4 linked regions of the Yarrowia lipolytica genome follow. The protein of the gene in region 4 purifies or fractionates together with the protein of the main gene of each other region. This does not show direct contact. Links are inferred from orthologs where the notes say so. Each region holds a gene or a part of one and is shown on either strand. Other genes may lie near its edges. The genes, in order: YALI1_C22857g, YALI1_C10730g, YALI1_A05052g and YALI1_B30214g.

Evidence for each region.
Region 1: the proteins of YALI1_B30214g (region 4) and YALI1_C22857g purify together in Saccharomyces cerevisiae (affinity purification with mass spectrometry; 4 studies listed by BioGRID, with this or other methods). This does not show direct contact. The link is inferred for Yarrowia lipolytica from reciprocal best matches to the Saccharomyces cerevisiae genes NOP7 and NOP1.
Region 2: the proteins of YALI1_B30214g (region 4) and YALI1_C10730g purify together in Saccharomyces cerevisiae (affinity purification with mass spectrometry, with the first as the bait; 5 studies listed by BioGRID). This does not show direct contact. The link is inferred for Yarrowia lipolytica from reciprocal best matches to the Saccharomyces cerevisiae genes NOP7 and MAK16.
Region 3: the proteins of YALI1_B30214g (region 4) and YALI1_A05052g purify together in Saccharomyces cerevisiae (affinity purification with mass spectrometry; 3 studies listed by BioGRID). This does not show direct contact. The link is inferred for Yarrowia lipolytica from reciprocal best matches to the Saccharomyces cerevisiae genes NOP7 and MAK5.

The regions. Positions count from the first base shown.
Region 1 is NC_090772.1:2,283,737-2,287,661, forward strand, and holds YALI1_C22857g (rRNA methyltransferase NOP1), read right to left. Parts: upstream 1,988-3,925; coding exon 1,022-1,987; downstream 1-1,021. Other genes in the region: YALI1_C22876g (uncharacterized protein), read right to left, coding at 3,748-3,925.
Region 2 is NC_090772.1:1,070,940-1,075,957, reverse strand, and holds YALI1_C10730g (66S preribosome component MAK16), read right to left. Parts: upstream 2,933-5,018; coding exon 2,915-2,932; intron 2,160-2,914; coding exon 1,239-2,159; downstream 1-1,238. Other genes in the region: YALI1_C10762g (uncharacterized protein), read left to right, coding at 1-774; YALI1_C10718g (uncharacterized protein), read left to right, coding at 3,688-3,879, 4,118-4,252; YALI1_C10675g (uncharacterized protein), read right to left, coding at 4,502-5,018.
Region 3 is NC_090770.1:503,188-509,361, forward strand, and holds YALI1_A05052g (uncharacterized protein), read left to right. Parts: upstream 1-2,088; coding exon 2,089-5,085; downstream 5,086-6,174. Other genes in the region: YALI1_A05031g (uncharacterized protein), read right to left, coding at 1-6; YALI1_A05091g (uncharacterized protein), read right to left, coding at 5,575-5,973. UniProt on the Saccharomyces cerevisiae protein: ATP-binding RNA helicase involved in the biogenesis of 60S ribosomal subunits and is required for the normal formation of 25S and 5.8S rRNAs. Required for the maintenance of dsRNA killer plasmid.
Region 4 is NC_090771.1:3,018,952-3,023,752, reverse strand, and holds YALI1_B30214g (uncharacterized protein), read left to right. Parts: upstream 1-2,292; coding exon 2,293-4,065; downstream 4,066-4,801. Other genes in the region: YALI1_B30234g (uncharacterized protein), read right to left, coding at 1-374; YALI1_B30218g (uncharacterized protein), read right to left, coding at 833-1,903; YALI1_B30182g (uncharacterized protein), read right to left, coding at 4,350-4,801. UniProt on the Saccharomyces cerevisiae protein: Component of the NOP7 complex, which is required for maturation of the 25S and 5.8S ribosomal RNAs and formation of the 60S ribosome.

The sequences.
Region 1 (3,925 bases), on a different chromosome or scaffold from region 4:
TTTTTCACACCAACTTTGTGTTTTTTGGCCTACTATCTGGGTCATGTGACCTTTATCGTGAAATGAAATGACCAACTGAAAAGGAAAGAAAGAAAAGTATTTAAATGATTTTAAAAAAATGAATAAAAAATGGATAAAAAATTAAATTAAATTAAATTAAATTAAATTAAAGAAATGACAAAATAAATAAATGAAAAAACCGGAAAAAAACTGGGAGGGGGGGAGAAAAAAAACTGACCAAGTTGCTGCGCACGAGACATGTCTTAATAAATCAGCACTCGCTGATGAAGTCTCGACCATCTGAGTGTCTAATATATATACCTCCAACAGGTCGGAGATCATCAGTGGTGTGCTTTTCAAGAGGGTGGCAAACAAGATCGGGCAGTGCTACAGTACATTCCAAGTGTACTTGGCTTTAGTTGGCTTTAGTTGGCTTTAGTTGAAGAAACGAGCACTCTGAAAGAATATTCCCGATGTGATGGAGATCTGAAACTAGACCAAGTGAAACAAAAATGCCACTTTTACCATATGTATTAAAAATTCAACGTTTTCTGTTGAACTAAAAAAAAACTACAATCAATACAAACATCGTCGTCCACATTAGCTTAGTTAAGTATTTAGTTGAAATACACTTGGTTATTGTATGTTCGTGATTACTAAGCGATGCAAGTGGGATTATCCAAGTTTCGTATTCAGTCTGTCCAGTGTCAATTGCCACAGTCGAGCGCAAATACTTTGAACATGCGTCCAGTACAAGTAATTGTACTTGTATTACTCATCAACTCATTTTCTATAATCCTCCAAAATGGCATGCATAATCTGCGTCCAATTGGAGTAGATCAACATTCGCACAATAGTGAGTCCGTGATCCGTGGTCTCGTGGTGCCCTGGCTCCCTGGTCCCACCCCATGTTCCCGTCGTACAAGTTCCTGTATCCATCCTACATGTCTCAATCAAAGTATACAATTATTATTTATATCCAATCTAGCACCCCATAGCCGCATCATCCTGTGGAAGACACTTATTTGTTAGCTCGAATGTACTTGCCAATAACAATGCAATGGTCTCGCTCGTAAGGCTCCAGGGTCAGCTGTTCCAGAGGCTTGATTCGCTCCTCTCGCAGCTTCTGAACCTCTCGGGCAAACACGGTCTCGGCCTCGACAGTGGAGTCGATACAGTTGGCCTTGATGGAGATGATGACTCCTCCCTGGTCCTTGAGGAACAGGTGTGCGTTCAGGGCGATAATTCGGGCCTGATCAGGCTGGGCAACATCGGCGAAGACAGCATCGACCATACCGACAAGCATTCGGTACTTCTGGGGGTGTCGAGCATCCTCAATGATGGGGATGACGTTAGGTCGCTTCTTGGCCATGCCTATCAGGTCTCGGCCGGATCTGTGGGAGAACTCAACGGCGTAGACGGTACCGGTGGGGCCCACGACATCGGCAACATGGGAAACGGAGGTTCCGGAAGCAGCACCAAGGTAAAGGACCTTGGATCCGGGGCCGATGAAGAGCTCATCGAGACCACCGAGAATACCTGCAGCCAGCTTGGATCGGAAGGGGTTCCACACTCGGTACTCGACCTTGGTGGCCTCGCCATCGGGGGTGGTGGCAGGAACATCGACCGAAACTCGCTTCTCGCCGTAGACAGACTCACCGGGGGTCAGGTTCTTGGTGACAAGGAGATCCTCCTTACCTCGGGCAATGAAGACACCGCCGTGTCGATGGGGCTCGACAATGACCTTGGCTCCGCCCTTGGCACCACCTCGAGCACCACCTCGACCACCACGGGCACCGCCTCGGGCACCACCTCGGGCACCACCTCGGCCGCCCCGAGCGCCTCCTCGTCCTCCTCGGTCTCCGCCGAATCCACCTCGTCCACCACCTCGTCCGCCAAACCCTCCTCGGCCACCTCGTCCACCACGGTCTCCGCCGCCGAATCCTCCTCGGCCTCCGCCTCGTCCACCTCTAGGAGTAAAGCCCATTATGTGTATGTGTTGTGTTTCAAAGTCCTTTTTGTGTGGTGCAATATGGGTTATTGCACTGGTTGTGTGGTGATGAATGTCAAGATGCACTAAGGAATATTTTTTTGGTAGAAGATCTTTTTAGGCTTTCAAAAATTTTTCTGGGTTTGGGTAGCGGTTAGAGTTTGCCCGTTTGTGCACAGAAACAGTGGGTCTGATTTGGCCACTTGGGTCTGGTTGGAAACGGGGGGACGGGGTTGAGAAGAGAAAAGGTGGTGAATGGTGAAAATTAGAGAACGCGGTAGTATTATGGTGTTTTTTTCGTTTTGATTGGCGTTCTGTGGAGCGTTTCGGAGACAGGTTAGGTTTGGCCTTTAGTTGCCAACTAGGTTAGTTGGGAGTGGGAGTTTTTAGAACAAATATGGTTAGCAAGTAGTTGGGACTTTTGTTTAATGTTTATTTAATGTTAAATGATTTAGGTATTAGTTGGTCCCTCCAAGCCACTCGAAATGGAGCAATTGGGCTGGAAGGGGGACTACTGGTTTTGCAATATCTCCATTGTCGGTGGGATTTGGTCACTGGAAATGCCCTATTCGTATTTCCTTATTTGATTTCACGCTCCAGTCACCATATATCTACCAGTGCTGGCTGTACCTCTGTTCAGACCCACCCAAATATTCGCAAAATATTTAACTACGCTTGAAAGTTTTTTTTTTTTTTTTTTTTTTTTTTTTTTTCACAAACGAACCAATGTGGTACTACGGCCACTAATATGGGCTTTGGGGTATCTTCAACAGACGCTAAAACCAAATGAGGGGCTAGACAGGATCAGAAGAGCTCATGATAGTTCCACGACTCCTAGTACCGTCATTCATAGATACACAATCGACCAAGGTCACGCACCAACTTTTTTTTTATTTTTTTATTATTATTATTCTACAAGTAGGGAACTTGCATCATGCACAGGTCCAATTTTTTTTGCTGATTGCGTCTCTCATGCTGCGATTAACCCTACCTTTGGCGCAGTGATTGGGATCTGAGTAGTGACAGAGTTTGTGGAGGGACGGTACGGTCCGGGGAGAGTGGATGAGATGGTTGACGCGATTACGAAGGGAGATTGTGTGTTGCTCTCACGGGTACCATATGGCTCTGTACTGAACATGTTTTTCAGAACGTCTCCAGGAGCCATGAGGGTGGTCTCTGACGACAGAGGTACAGAGTGAAATACTCCAGAGTGACAGTGGAGGGCCATCAGAGTGAGATACTCCAGAGTGATAACGAAGGGCCTTCAGAGTGAGATACTCCAGAGTGACAACGAAGGGCCTTCAGAGTGAGATACTCCAGAGCGCCGCTTTCAGGTGGTATGTATGTATGTACTGTACAGTATGTACGTGTACTCGTACCTGTAGCACGCTAGAGAAGAACCCGTGGAACCTACCAACCGTGGTCTCTCCGTGCTCTTACTCTCTCATGTGCCTTTTTCGAGACTGAAAGCTGCCAGATGCTCTATCCGGCGTGCTCGTTGAGGGGATATGAGTGACGAGGTTACAGAGACAAGGAGATCGCAATGGTACTGCTCGGACTAAGCCGCCGGGCTGAGCTGCCGCCAATCCAGGCAAGTGAAGCAGGACGGGGCAGGAAGACAAGACCAAGACGTCTTTGTTCAGAAAGAAGCAGACTCTCTCAGTCGGTTCTACATGAACTTGACTGGCTTGACCCGTACTTTAGCATGGATAACAGACATTGGACACATGCCAGTCTTTTCAGGACACAATTCTAGTCTACAAGTACAGTACAGTACACACCATACTTGCCTCCTGGTTACGTCGTACAATGCACGTTCGATCCGCACAGTTGACCACGATATTCTGACCACTTTCACCTGATCTCCAGATCAGTACAAGTAGTCCCAGAGATCTTTCAGGTCGTGAGTCGACAATGGTGATGTCTGGGTGGAGC
Region 2 (5,018 bases), on a different chromosome or scaffold from region 4:
GAAGTCACCGGCTCCAATGTCCAGTCTGTTGCCGAGCACGTTATCATGACCATGTTGGTCCTGGTGCGAAACTTTGTCCCTGCTCACGAGCAGATCATCTCTGGCGGTTGGGACGTTGCTGCTGTTGCCAAGGACTCATACGATCTCGAGGGTAAGGTCATCGGCACCGTTGGAGGAGGCCGAATTGGCCAGCGAGTGCTCAAGCGATGCAAGCCCTTCGACCCCATGGAGATGCTCTACTACGACTATCAGGCCATGCCAGCTGACGTTGAGAAGGAGATTGGATGTCGTCGAGTCGAGTCTCTCGAGGAGATGCTCTCTCTTTGTGACGTGGTCACCATCAACTGCCCTCTGCACGCTTCCACCAAGGGCCTGTTCAACAAAGAGCTCATCTCGCACATGAAGGATGGTGCCTGGCTCGTTAACACCGCTCGAGGAGCCATTTGTGTCACCGAGGACATTGTCGAGGCTCTCGAGTCCGGTAAGATCCGAGGTTACGGCGGAGACGTTTGGTTCCCCCAGCCTGCCCCTAAGGACCACCCCTGGAGAACCATGCGAAACAAGTACGGGGGAGGAAACGCCATGACTCCTCATATCTCCGGAACTTCCATCGACGCCCAGGGCCGATATGCCGAGGGCACCAAGAAGATCCTTGAGGTTTTCTTTTCTGGAAAGCAGGATTATCGACCCCAGGACATTATCTGCATCAATGGTCACTACGGCACAAAAGCTTACGGAGATGACAAGGAGCACAAGGAGCACCAGCTCAAGTAAATATATATAGCTAGAAACATATCTCGTTGTTGCTTAGATACTTGTACTACGACTTGTCTCTCAACCTCTATTTACTGTCGCTCGACCTCTATTTAAGGCGTTTATCTCCCTCTAAACGTAGTCCATAGCAGCCTATGATTATTCGTATCAACCATTATTTAGTAATTTTGTACTTGGAATAGTGAAGGCACGTTTCTCCCTAACATCGGAGCCCAATCATTGCTTCAATTCACATTGTCATGAAGAGATAGGTCAAGCAAGCAAGACTTCATACAGAAATTCAATGATTACAAGTACTGCAATAAAGATCACCCATACTTCTGATGTCTGACTGCAAAGACGTTCTGTTTATCTCTCCTTAAGATAGTGAAGTAGCTGACATCTTTCCACTACAAACGCTCTCAAACAAGTCAGTATTTCTATACATTACATTTTTCCTCCGTCTATGCTCCTTCTCAGTGTATCTACCAGTCCACCATTTGCTTTTCCTTCTCGCCATTGTCCTCCTCGTATTCGACCTCCACGCTGGGACCCTTTCGCTTCTTGGTCTTGGGCTTGGGCTTCTTACCGTCAGCAGCAGCCTTTCGCTTCTTAGGCTTCTCGTCCTCGGAGTCGGTATCAGTCTCGTCCTCAGAGGCATCGGTCTCGTCTCCAGACTCGTCACTGCTTCCACCCAGCCACTTTTCAAGGTCCTCCAGCTCCACAAGATCGTCATCGTCTTCCTCATCCTCGACATATTCAACCTCTCCACCCTCTTCCTCTTCGTCCTCCTCTTCCTCTTCCTCTTCGTCCTCATCTTCCTTGTTGGCTCCCTCGACGCCCTCGAGCACCTTCTTCCACACCTTTTCGTCCACGTTGAGAGGGTTCTCGCCGTATGCTCCGCTCTTGAGACGGTCCAGCAGCTCCTTCTCAATGGCCTTTTCCACCTTGGCAGCAGCCAGAGCCTTTCGCTCTCGGGTAGCCTCTCGTCGCTTCACCTTGGGAGCCACACCAACATAATGGGTATCCTCCTCCTTCATGGCAATACGTCGCTCAGCAACAGCCACTTGGGTGAGACGAGTCAGACGCTGCTTGCACTTGTCAACCAGGAACTCATTCCAGTAAATGAGATGCTCGTCAATCTGCTCCAGGGCCCGCTTGTAGTTTTTGGACAGTCGGATCCGCTCCCACCACTTATTGGGGGTGTGCACTCGCTCAGCAGTCTTCATGTAAAGGTATAATCGGCCGTTGACCCGTCGAACGGTGGCGTATTTGGAGTTGGCGAGAGGGCAAGACTTGCGCTCGCAGATGCCGGTAACGTTGTACTCGTTCTTGCAGAAATCCTGGCCTTTGCCGGTTTTCAGCTTGAACGAGCAGAATTGGTCGTTTAGAATTTCCCAGATGAGCTGTGTTAGTAGGAACGAGCAGTCGTGGGCAGCCTAACTGCCGGTGGACAATAATCTATAGTGTTTCAACTGATATCTCGGTTCAGCTTGTGATTTAGTCGCACTCGGAAAGCATATTGTAGAGCTCAGGTTCAGTTATAGCAGGTCGCAGACCGACTCAGACCGACTCAGACCGACTCAGACCGAACCTTTAGAGACTGTAGACGGTAAAATCCGAAACAGCTCGAAAAAATGTTCATAGAGTCTTCTTTCAGGTGATGGCACAGTGTTGCCGAACGTCTCATGGACAGCGTTCATGATGGAGACTAGGAGAATGGACGAGGTCGACAAGGACGTTTGAGATTTGATTTGAAGCAGATTTGGAGCACGCTTGAATGTTCTAGCGTCTGCAGATAGCATAGTATCGCGGACAGTTCCAACAGAAGCATACACACATTCCTGAGGTCTGTGTAGCAGTACAGCCGTACCAACCACATACGTAGCCTGTAGTACAGTTTCCACATCAAGGAAAACACATAGCTCTTCTCCAACATTCAAAATAGCATCGAAATCGCTCTTCCAATGCTTCACCCCTTCTTTATCTCGTCACAAATCCGTCCACCACCTCCTCTGTCTAACAACCGCCTTGAGTGATCGGTAAAGTACCTGCCAAAAGCCATATAGATCCGGATTTTTCCACTTTTCCACTCTGTTGCACTTCTTTCCAGCCCAAAAGAACCTCCCTTGGGCGCTTCCATCTTTCCATCGATACTCACATCGTCACTCGCCGACATTGTGAATGTGTAGTTATGCTTGAAAAATTCGTGATCAGACTTTCAATCTTTCTAATTTTTTTGGCTCTTGCAGATTTCTCAAACTCTATTTCAGGTTATGAGCAGTTTAGAGAAAGTAACCTAAATTGTCTCGTTTGTGGTTGGCCAGAGTAGTTAGTAAGCAAACACAGTTCTTGAATAAAACACTCTCCAGCCAAAAATAGGGCACCTTTTAGCAACGTGCCGTTTTCGTAATACATTTTGGTCACGTGATCTCCGTTCTCTGCATGGATTATGCAAACACTAGGTGATTGGTGGAAGGTAAGGGAAGGGGACGTTCTACACTTGTGGAGAGAGAGGTAGTAGATGGAGGGGAACTGGGTGTGGTTGTATATACACATTACTGAGAAATATGTGACTGCAGTTGTTGTTTTTTGGATATCATGGAATTAATGGTGGTAAATGTATCACCAAGTCAGTAGTCTTTATTAGTTGAAAAGACTTGGTAGTCTCATCTATAGAGTGTAACTAATACTTGAAGATGTATAGTAACTCTACAGAATGCACGGTGGAAGAGCTTTCAACCATGAAGTGATACTGGGGGCTATTCGAAGCTATATAAACAAGCCTGCTAAATCTTCCTCCTTTTCAAAGGCTCCACATCGTCTAGTGTCGTACTGTCTTCTTTGCCACCTTCTTAGGGAGCTCTGATAAAGTTCGATAGTGAAACTTCTGGCATCGACTTTTGGTATCACTCTGACACGAACAATCACACAATGTCTAGACACCATCCCGATCTGGTGCTGTGCATGAAGCAGAGCGGCACTCGTGTGGGCCGTCTGTGTGAAAAGTGCGACGGCAAGTGCCCTGTCTGCGACTCGTTTGTGCGACCTACCACCTTGGTCAAGGTCTGTGATGAGTGCAGTTTTGGCAAGTTGGAGGATCGGTGTATTATTTGCGACGGATATGTGAGTACATTCAAGGCACCCACGGAAGACTTGCTGAAGGCGTGAATTGAGTGCGGTGAGATGGAGACGCCGAGGAGATGAGACACACGTGTCTGAGGAGGGTTTCTAAGCTCCGATGTGGTCAATGAACACCAAAAGCTCGTGAATGATTCTTGGACCCTCGAGATCAACTGTGAAGTGACTATATCGCGTTCTTAAGGATTTTTTCTCATTACTTTCGCTTACCATACTAACACAGGCGGTGGCGGACGCTTATTACTGCTTTGAATGCACACGACTGGAAAAGGACAGAGATGGCTGTCCGAAGATCATCAACGTCGGAGGCAGCCGGACGGACCTGCATTTCCAGAGAAAGAAGGAGGGACAGAGGTAATCCACTGTTGTATATTATTAATTTATTCTTAGGTGAACGAACTCGGGCGAAGCCCAAGTGATTGGATCTGTAATTATAAGTGTGTAGCCGCAGTCTGTGAACATTTCAATTCAAGTTACAAGTCACAGCTTCTCCCTAGTAGGTACGTCTATGTTGTGCTAAACTGTATACATCTTGTCCTGGCATCTACGATACTACAAGTTCATAAATCATTTTAATTCAATAAATAATGCTATTGTTTTGTCAGCCCTAGGGCTCACTCTCCCCCTTCTTCTCCTCCTTGCGCTCACTCCTGCTGGTGGTTCTCTTATGGTGGGGAGTGGCGGCAAATTGGGGATTGACCTCGACAACAGAAAACTTTTTACCGTGCAAAGTAAAGTCCGAGCCTCTGATCAGCGACGACGATCGCTCAATGGACGGATTATCAGCTCGAACAGGCGAAACTTCCCGTCCGGGGGAATCTGAGCCGTTTCGAAGACCGGTTCGCAGCTTCCGAACACTCATGGACGGTTTGAGAGGACTATTCTCACCTGAACGGAGATCACCAGATGATCTGCTCAGAGATAAAGACCGAGACGCCTTTCTGGGCAGATCCAGCGACGACGACCTAGTATCACCATCAGACCGATCACTCGGGGCGGTGTCTCTCAGAATGCTTTCTCGAACCTCATAAAACCGATCCTGCTTGGAACCGTTAGAAACAGTGGGCTGAAGAGAAGAACGAGACGAGAGAGACGAATCCGGCCGAGGAATAGCTGTGGTAGTA
Region 3 (6,174 bases), on a different chromosome or scaffold from region 4:
GACCATGTTGTGTTGTGGAGTACAACCTGGAAAGAGTGAGTCTGGTAATTAAAAGCGACTTTTCAAAATAAGCTCCGTAGGGGTTAGAGTTGGGCGGCGTGGTGGTGGACATTTATCAAGGGGCAATCGGGGGTTATAGGGGCGGAATTTGAACGCAAAAAACAGATCATCCCACTACTAACGCGACAATAAATAGATTCAAAACATCTCCCGTTCAATTTGGCCGTCCCTATAGCTCTTTAAACGCCTCTCTTATCTGATGTTGCTCCATCTGATAACTGCACAACCTAATTATCCGGAGCCTATTTTTCTGCGTATAACCGTAACGGAGGAAACAACAAAACGGTGGCAACAGCTCCCAGAATCGTCGCAAACCGGGAAGTAAAAGGCGAAAATTCCTCACAGTCACGTGAGAAGTTTGTGCCCGTCACATGATGTCCAGGGTTCCGTCTTGGGTTCCTGGTACCCTGTTATTTCGCCATCCCATCACTCCGCCACCCCACACACCCATAACCCTTGACTAGCACGGCTCATTAACAAAAAGGCAAAAGGGAAGCATCGTCACGTTGCGGCTAATTGGAAGTGTATGGAGGAATCAATTTAGAGAAGTTTGGCGCAGTCCGATCAAAGCACAAGTGGCATAGAACGACTCCTCAGAACGAGCCAATCAAAAACGGTATGTTTTTCTCCCACATTGGACTCTTATTAAGCAACTAGAACTCCACCGAAACTGATTCGGAGCGAATCTACCTTGCACCTGAGTTCCGTTATAAAGTGGAATGTTCATCTCCGACAACAGAACTCACACAACTTGCCCAATTGAGCTCCGATTGGGCCGCCAGAAATTTCAGTACATCTGCTGTCCCTCGCTGACCATTTCTATATATAAATATTGCCATTGTACCCCGTCAAAACAGACACAGACTAGAACTAGGCATTGCCAAAGTTTACAGCAATACCCTGCACTCTTGCAACAGAACATACACTAAACATGCGCGACAATGGTTTAGAACGGCGCTCGGGGTTTCTCCTTTCCTTTTTATCCGCATTAGTCACGTGCGGCCAAGACTTTCCACCCTCAACTGCATACTATCTGCGTCCCCGTTAGCCACTTTGAGTGCAACTACGGTGGGTCTGTTTAGTCCAGATCGTCTTCTCAACAGGGTTGTATTTTGTAGTTAGTTGCAAGGAGGTAAAAGACTATAAACCCGAAAGACCTTGTTTGTGAATGCGAATCCACGTGAGTTCACGTGGTTGGCACGTGGCTGTATGCCTACGACTGTTCTGGTCAGGCTGTCACTTGTGCATTCTTTTTTTTTCCTTTCTTTTGTCGAGTTCGTTAGCAACATGCACTCGGAGTCCGAGCGGAGCTACAAGCACTCACCAAGGAACCACAAGCCACAGTGGCGCAGCCGAATGAGACACGGCGCACCGATCAGATAACGTCATCTGATAAGAGGGGAAGAGCTTGTTCGTCAGTGCCGTGTAGTTTCAGGGCCGTTTGGAGTGTCATACGTTGAAAACTGTAGTGCATAAAAGACAGTCGTTGTGTCAAGGCTAATCCTCTTTAGTTGAATGTTTGTTAGGAAAGGGTGTTCTGTGATACCGCAAGTTATAATTTTTTAACATATATTTCAGAAATACTAGGGGAATTTCAAGCCTGAAATGACAAAGAAAGTGTTCAGATTGTAGAACTGAATGAACAGAACGAATTGGGACCATCTTTTCCATTCATTTGTACACACCCACTCGATCCAGCAGAACCGATTGGGAATGCCACACTCAGACAATTAGTTAAGATTAGTTGGAATCAAGCGCACTTATTTGTTATGTTTTTTATTAACGGAGGGATCTCTCAGAGAACTCATTGATCTAACTAAGGCAATATGAACAAGACAAATTGTCATAAAGAGACCATTCCAAACCACACCATATCCTCTATCATTCCCCTGGGACTCTTCCTACGCATCCTACGACGTGGTTTGGTTCTCCCTATTCTGCTCACCATCTAGCCCTAACCTCCATGCATCTCAATGCACGTTTAAAAATTATTTTTCCAGGCTGAATATTTCCGTACACACTCACACCATGGCTATCAAACAGAATGCGAAAAAGGGCGGCAAGCCTGGCAAGCCAGGTGGAAAGCCTCCTGGTGGGGGCAAGCCTGCTGGCGGCAAGAAGGTGTTTCGAAAAATCAAAAACGGCTTTGTGGAGCCTCGAAAAGCGAAAGCGGCCAAGGGTACGACTGTGGCAGCCATGGACATTGTTTCTGCTGCTGATCTGAGTGCCAGCGAGAGCGAAGACGAAAACAAGTTGAAGGATTTCGCCAAGTTTGACGATGATGAAGAGGAGAAGGAAGACAAGGGTGGCAAGGCCGAGAAGGACGTCAAGAAGGATGTCCAGAAGGACGTCAAGAAGGATGTCCAGAAGGATGTCCAGAAGGATGTCAAGAAGAGTGTCAAGAAGGATGTCCAGAAGGCTGGCAAGAAGGATACCCAAAAGGATGTCAAGAAGGCTGATGCTAAAACTAACAGCGCCATTGAGGGTTTCGCACAAGCCACTAAAGGTGAAGAGGCTGAGGTCTCTGTGCCTGCGAAGGAAGTTAACAAGGCTGCCAAGAAGGAGGACAAGGATGTGAAAAAGGACACTAAGACAAAGGATACTGTCAAGACTAAGGTCAAGGCTGCTGTTTTACCCGAATCTGACGCAGAAATGGACAACTGGTCAGATGCCGAGTTTTCAGACGGTGGGGAAACCATCGATCTTCCTGCACCCGGAACAAAGCCTCTCGACATTAACAAAATGAACTGGAAGAAGGTTGAGCTAGGCGACAAGAAGATGGACTTTGAGGGTTTCTACGGACTTGAAGAGCTGGACGGTGTTGATATTGTGGTCAACAACGGCCTTCCTACTTTTGTTGTAGGGGAGAAGCCTGAGAAGAAGAACTCTAAGAAAGAGACCAAGAAGGCCGAAGTTAAGAAGGATAAGTCTGGGGATGCCTCTGAGCCAGCCAAGAAGAAGGCCAAGGTTGCCAAGGACGGAAAGGACGGCAAGGAGGTTGCCAAGACTCAACCTAAACAGAACAGCAAGAAAAAGGCCGAGGGAAACGCATTTGAGGCCCTCAATAGTGTGCCCGACGACATTCATCTCCCTGACTGGACTCTCAACGGCGAGCAGCTTAACTACTCCCTCATCCAGGGCCTGTATGCTCTTGGCTACAAGTCTCCTACAGAAATTCAGAAGAAGTCGATCCCACCCATTCTGGCGGGTGATGACGTGATTGGAAAGGCCAGTACCGGTAGTGGTAAGACGCTGGCGTACGGTCTGCCGATTTTGCATCGATTTTTGGAGGCTGAGAAGTCAGACAAGAAGGAGGAGGTCGAGGAGGAGGTCCCTGAGAAGTGTACTACCAAACCCAGACCTAAGAAGGTGACCAAGATGACCGGACAGGAAGAAAAGAAGGACGACGAGGAAGAGGAAGAGCGATTCGATATGTACGATGAGGCTCCCGAGCCCCGCTTTGATATTTCCGACCGACCTGCTGACCTTCCTGTGCTTGACAAGGAGCGAGAAGACCGAGAAAACGAGGTGGAGATGGACGAAGAGACCGAAAAGGTGGAGAGAGACATGTCTTCTGTTAAGCCTCCTCAGGCCATTGTTTTTGCCCCCACCCGAGAGCTTGCTCATCAGATCACCGACCATTTGAATGCCGTGTCTCAGTTCTGTCCTATTTCTGGACCGCGAGTCATGGCTCTGACCGGTGGACTGTCTATCATGAAGCAGCGACGTCTCATGAAATGGAACCCTGCCATCGTTGTCGCCACCCCAGGTCGATTCCACGAGTTCATCACCGATACCGACGGCATGGTTGATGTGTTTAAGCGAACCAAGACTGTGGTAATGGACGAAGCCGATCGAATGCTTCAGGATGGACACTATGAGGATCTTGACAAGGCCCTGGATCTCATTGGACGAGGAAAGGTGGCCAAACGACAGACATGTGTGTTTTCAGCCACCTTCCAGAAGTCGCTCATGTTCAAGCTGGACAAGAAGCGAAAGCAAAGAACAGGTCTGGCCACCGATCAGGAAACCATCCGATTCCTCGTGTCCAAGATGAAGTTCCGACAGTTCCATCCTACTTTTGTGGACGCCAACCCTGCCGAAGTTGTCGCTCGACAGGTTCTGGAGAGTATCGTCGAGTGTGGCGCCATGGAGAAGGACCAATACCTATACTACTTCCTGCTGACCTACCCCGGCAAATCCATCATTTTTGTCAACTCCATCGACTCTGTCAAGCGTCTCACTCCCATGTTGCAGAACCTCGAGCTCCCCGCTGTGCAGCTGCACTCCAACATGATCCAGAAGGCCCGTATGCGGTCCCTAGAGCGGTTCCGAGACAACAAGAACGGTATTCTGGTTGCGACTGATGTCGCAGCTCGAGGTCTGGATATCCCCAATGTGCACCATGTTGTGCATTACCACCTGCCTCGAACTGCAGATGTCTACGTGCATCGATCTGGACGTACTGCTCGAGCGGGAAACGAGGGTGTTTCTGTGCTCCTGTGTTCGCCCGACGAAGCGTCGGGACCTCTGCGAAAGCTGCGAGCTGCCCTGTCACGTGACAATGCTCTTGCGAAGCTGAAACCTCTGTCCATGAACTACGACGTGCTGGCTCAGATCAAGCCCCGAGTGGAGCTTGCCAAGGAGTTGGCGGATTCGGTTCTGGACTCCACACAGGTTGGCAAGCAGGATTCGTGGCTCAAGGAGGCTGCCGAGGACCTTGGAGTCGACTTTTCCGACTTTGAGAACGATACCCACGATCACAAGAGCCATGTGCGAACCAAGCTAGGCAACAACAGCAAGAAGGGCATGAAGGTGATGAGCAAGGACCAGATGGCTCGTACTCGAAAGGAGCTTGAGAAGCTACTTAGTAAGCCTCTGGGACGACATTCGTCCAAATACATCACTTCTACTAACGGAATCAACTTGGCCAAGATGGTTCTGGATGGAAAGTCGCATGACAAGATTATGGGAGTGGCTCCTCAGACTGCTGGAGAGACCCTGAGAAAGAAGCGAAAGAACTAGAAAGCGAATAGCCGAAGTTCAATGCGGACCAAAACATGGAGGAGTTTATAGAGCAATCATAATGGATAAGATGTACTGTTCAAGTTCAACAGTAGTATACCGTACAGGTGCTGGTTGAGTTCTACAACCACTAGTTTTGTGCGTAATCAAGACAAATGATGGGAACAACTGGTTACCTCAACAATACTTTTGCACCTACATATCTCTAGGACCGCTCAATTGTTCAAGACTGTATTGTATTTTCATTAGTTACATCCCTTTAACATAAGAGAAGGAAATGAACAATTCCTTCAGTAAGAGCGACGTACAGGCGATTAATAGCTATAAGTAGCCCACAAAGCCTCTCATTCAGAGTCATACATTTTCCGTTTTATTAAATCATAATTGCATCCCATCCATACTTTACAATCCCAGCGGCAGCGTGCTCTAGGTACCGGAGACACACTAACACACTCTCAATGACATTTCTTAGTGCTGCACACTATTCGGTTAGAACCGTCCCCGACCTCTAGGTCCACCTCGTCCTCTGGGACCACCTCGGCCTCTAGGTCCTCCACGGCCTCTCATAGGTCCGCCTCGTCCTCGAGCCGCACCTGGTCCACCTCTTGCCGCGCCAGGAGCACCAGGCTCAACCTTTCTTCTCTTGGCCTTGGGAGTATCATCAATCAAAAGAGTATCCAAGGGTAGCGAGTCGGGGAGAATGAAGAACCGGATTGTGTTGCCTCGAATGTTGATGTAGTCGAGCGAGGTTGGGGGTCGGTTCTTCATGGTCATCTTCACATTCTTGAGTGTCGTGTTCATATTGTTGGACACAGACATGACTGTTCCGAGAAGAACGGTACCTGAGTTAGTAATGACGTAGGGGAAAGGGGGCCGCCATGTGCACATTAGAGGGAGTGACAGATGCAGACACAGATACTGACAGAAGACCCTGATAGAGCCAGAGTAGACCGAGCTCTGTGGAAGTAGGAACAGCTGTATTCAGCAGACAGCATATTGATTTACCAGACCCCAGGGTAAAACAGGCCGTGACTGTGATGTTCCATGGTCTTGATCAAAGGCGGACAGGCAAGAAGAGCATGAGAAATC
Region 4 (4,801 bases):
TTAGCGCTTACTAAGCCATCTCTAACCTGTGGGCTGCATGATCTGAAGCCAAAAAAGAGCAATCCCACCACCACAAACACGAAAATGCTTAGAATCGCCCGAGTGTCACACAATGCTGTCAAGATGGCCTCTTCGCGGGGAATCCACTTCTCATCCGATGGATTCATCAAAATGAAGGACCAAAAGCACATCCTCAAGGTTATGAACAGCCCGGAAAACCAATGGTCCACAGATGAACTTCTGTCGCATTCAGACCACTCTTCTGACGAAATCACCTCAGAGACCCTCCAGAAGGTCTCAAAAAAGCTGGCACCCATCTTCAAGAGTGCTGCACTGCCAATGCCTGATTCCGATGAGACCATGTTTTCTCTCATCAAGACTCTCCGAACTCAGGTAAACCTGGTCTCTCATATTCACGACATTGATGTCAGCGGAGTGGCTCCATTGACCTGCCTTACTCCCATCAAGGACTTTACATACGAGCAGCTCACAGCTGAGGACTCTGGAGAGCCTGGTCCCGAGGTTCTATGGGATGCTCTGAGTTGTGCCGAGAAGAAGGACGGCCGATTCTTCGTTGTCAGCCGTGATATTAAGCAGGAGGAGCCCACCCAATGAAATTAACAGTACCGGTACATACAATGGATATACAAGTAGATTAATGCATACAAAACACGCACACACACACACACACACACACACGCACGCGCTTTTCTCATCTAAGACTACATTGTACATACATTCCAGTATGTACTGTAGGTACAGTATGTACTACGATAGTGGAAGGAACAGAGACCTGCTTATCTATATCATGGATCTATAATTTACATAATGTTTAAAAGTTGAAACCGGGGTATCCTCGTCGCTTCATTCGTTCTCGCATCTCGGATCGGAACTGGTTAACTCTCCAGCCAAAGTACAGACCAGACAGGGATCCACCCAAGTGTCCAGCATAATCGTACCGACCCCATCTTCCAACAATACCTCCAACGTTCATGGCGATGGAACCGAGGAAGAACCACCATGCGCCAAAAGGCAGAGGAACGAAGAAGAAACCAATAGTGGCGTCAGGAAAGACGGAACAGAAAACACCAACAACGGAGAAGATGGCTCCCGAGGCACCCAGAGACATAATTGCTCGGCCGAGCAGAGAAGGCACGAGCAGGGAGGTGAAAGAAGAGACAACAACAGAGGTCATGTACATGTGGCAGAACCAGGCAGATCCCATGGTCATAGCAACAGGGATACCAAACTGATAGAGCACAAACATGTTAACGAAGAAATGCCAGAACTCCTGGTGGGAGAAGGCTGATCCAATAAGCTGAGCAGGTCGGAAACCGGGCCCGGTCTTGAGAAGCATGTTCTCGAACATGAATCGGATGATCCAGGGGTTACCGGACTTCCACAGCAAGAAGAAGGCAGCATTGACACCGATGATGGCAGAGATCATCCAGTCAGGCCGCTGCGCAAACACGCCAATGGGTGTATACTTGAACAACAGAGGAAAGGCAAAGTAAGAGACAACAATGGTACCGATAGAGAAGGCCAGAGCTTTGGCCAGAATGTATTTGGTGGGATCACCTCCGGGGTAAATCCATCGGGCACCATCGCCGTAAGCGAAGTTGGTGAAGGGTCGAGCCGTGAAGAGGCCCTTTGTGTTGTATGCAAACGTCTTTGTATCGTTCCTCAGGGCATTGAACTTGCCTCGGGTCTCCTTCAGCATGTCAGCAATGCCACCCCGCTTGCCAAGTCGTTGCATCTGCCGGAACATGGTGTTGATCTGGCCAGGGGTAGGACCGACCACATTCTTGACAATGGGGTTGGAGGTGGAGCCCAGAGTCTGAGTACTCTTCCAGAAACCAGGAGCCAGTCTCCCCAGAACGATGTTGCCTCTGAAGAAGTTCATGGGTATGGTTGCGATAGAAGAGGTGTGGAGGTGGATGTTGCTGCAGACGATGCCTATCAAGTCTACTTGAGAAAAGATACTGCCTTATTAGTGGCGATGAGGGCAGCAAAACCTAATCCACAGATAAGTGATGTACACTTCTTACTGTATAAGTATGTGGCCTTATATAATGAGGAGTATGGCATGGTGAGACATGGTAATATTCATTCTTGCATCCGAAATTACCAAATATATTATATTCACCTGGCACCATTCAACTCCCTGATTACTAAGCAATCCATGCATTGGGCGAAAAAAATGTCCCAGCAGAAATTTATAGAGTTTATGCATTGTAAAAATCCTATCCCAAAAAAATATTCAGAAGTCTGTTACTCTTCACACACACAACAATGGGCCAGATCAAGAAAAAGCATACCGCTGGAGCCGCTCGAAACTTCATCACTCGAACTCAGGCTATCCGAAAGCTACAGGTCTCGCTTGCCGACTTCCGACGGCTCTGTATCTTCAAGGGTATCTACCCTCGAGAGCCCCGAAGCAAGAAGAAGGCCAACAAGGGATCCACAGCTCCCGTCACCTTCTACTACGCCAAGGACATTCAGTACCTTTTGCATGAGCCCGTTCTCGACAAGTTCCGAGAGCACAAGACCTTTGCCAAGAAGCTGACCCGAGCTCTTGGTCGAGGCGATCTTCATGATGCCAAGCGAATCGACGAGAACCGACCTCGATACCATTTGGACCATATCATCAAGGAGCGATACCCCACTTTCATGGACGCTCTGAGAGATATTGACGATGCTCTGTCCATGCTGTTCCTTTTCGCCGCTTTGCCTGCTTCCGACGACGTTTCTGCTCGACTTGTTTCCGAAGCCGAGGCCATTTGCACCCAGTGGATGGCCTTTGTTGCCCGAGAACGACTTGTGCGAAAAGTGTTTGTTTCCATCAAGGGAGTCTACTACTCTGCCAACATTCGAGGAGTCGAGGTCATGTGGCTCGTGCCCTTCCGATTCCCCCAGAACATTCCTGCCGATATTGACTTCCGAGTCATGCTGACATTCCTCGAGTTCTACACCACCCTACTGCATTTCGTTCTCTACAAGCTTTACAATGAGAACGGTCTTGTTTTCCCTCCCATCATCAACTCCACCAAGCTCAGTGGTGTTGGAGGTATCAATGCGTACGTGCTGGAGTCTCGACAGAACGCCGGTGTTGTCCCCCAGATTGAGGGTAACTCCGAGGCAAAGGTCGAGAACGTGTCTGCTGCCGTTCTGTCCAAGGCTGCTAAGGCTGATGCCGGCGAGGAGGAGGAGGTTGAGGAAGAGGAGGAAGTCGAGGACGACGGACTGGACTCCTTCTCCGCCGAGAAGGGTGACGCCCTTGCCCAGCCCACATTCAACTCTACCGCCGGTCAGCTCTTCTCTAACTTCACTATCTTCATTGGTCGAGAGGTTCCCCTTGATATCATTGAGTTCCTGATCATCGCATTTGGAGGAAAGGTCATTTCTGAGTCTGCCATGGACGAACTCATCGACAATGAGGACGAGACCCGAGGTAACGTCATTGATGAGAAGACTCTTAAGCAGAAGTTCAATCTCGCCAGCGTCACTCACCAGATCACAGATCGACCCACTCTTCGAGAGAAAGTCCCTGGTCGAACGTACGTTCAGCCCCAGTGGGTCTTCGACTCCATTAATGAAGGAAAGCTTCTTCCCGTTTCTGAGTACGCCCCTGGAGAGCGTCTCCCTGCCCATCTTTCCCCCTGGGGAGATGCTGGTACTTACGATCCTACCGCTGATGTTTCTGATGCTTCTGATGATGATGAGGATGATGAGGACATTGAGGTTGCTCCTGAAGACTACGACAAGGACGATGAGGAGGAAGAGGCCGAGGCCGAGGCTAAGCAGCACCAGCGAGAGCTTGAGGCTGAGGCTAAGGGCACCAAGGCTGACCCCGCTGCTGCTCCCAAGAAGGCTAAGCGAAAGGCTGATAAGATGACCAAGGCTGAAAAACAGGAAGAGGAGGACAAGAAGCTCAGAATGATCATGATGTCCAACAAGCAGAAGAAGCTGTACAAGAAGATGCAGTACTCCAACGACAAGAAGAGCGACCGAGAGGCCGAGCTCAAGAAGCGACGAAAGCTCAACGAGAAGAAGGAGAAGAGATAAATTGGCACTGGGCCACGGCTTGGAAATAAAATAAAACCATAACTAATTGATTGATAGAATATGATAGTGTGTGGGGTTGTACTTGTACAGTAGTTGTACTGTACCGGTACAATACTAGCACAGGTGTATGTAGGTGTTCATGTTGCTATTTTTGAATATAAATAATAAATGGTTATAGTCTAATTTATTAAGTGTTGTAAGTCTATGTTGGTGAGGAAATGCAAGGCACAGAGTACAGATTACAGTACTCGTAAAAGTACTTGTACTTGTGTAAGTGCATCTGATTATCGAATTCGAGTGTCGAAAGCGTTTCTATCGGGAATCTCGAGATTCATGAGTCCATGCAATTCTGTCTTGACCTTCTCCAGCTCCTTGACGGCCTTGTTGAGAGCCTCAATGTCCGTCAAATGCCCTACATCAATGTACACCTTGACCAGCCACTGTTTCGAAGGGTCCAGCAGCTTGATGTTCTTTGTGGTCTGGTCCAGAATATGAATACGAGTCAGCTGAATCACTGCATTGCCGTACACAAACTGAAAGCCCTTCTGCCAATACTCATATTGGAACTTGTAGGCGAGCGACTGTAAAAATTGAAAAGAGTCACCCTTCTTAACGCTCCATGATGAAATGCTCTGTGATGTGGTCTTTTGTTTTCCTGCCTCGGGCATCTCCATGATCTGAAAGTGCCATTGTCGATTTGCCAGATTATGGATATCCTCCTTGGAATCCTTGCTCT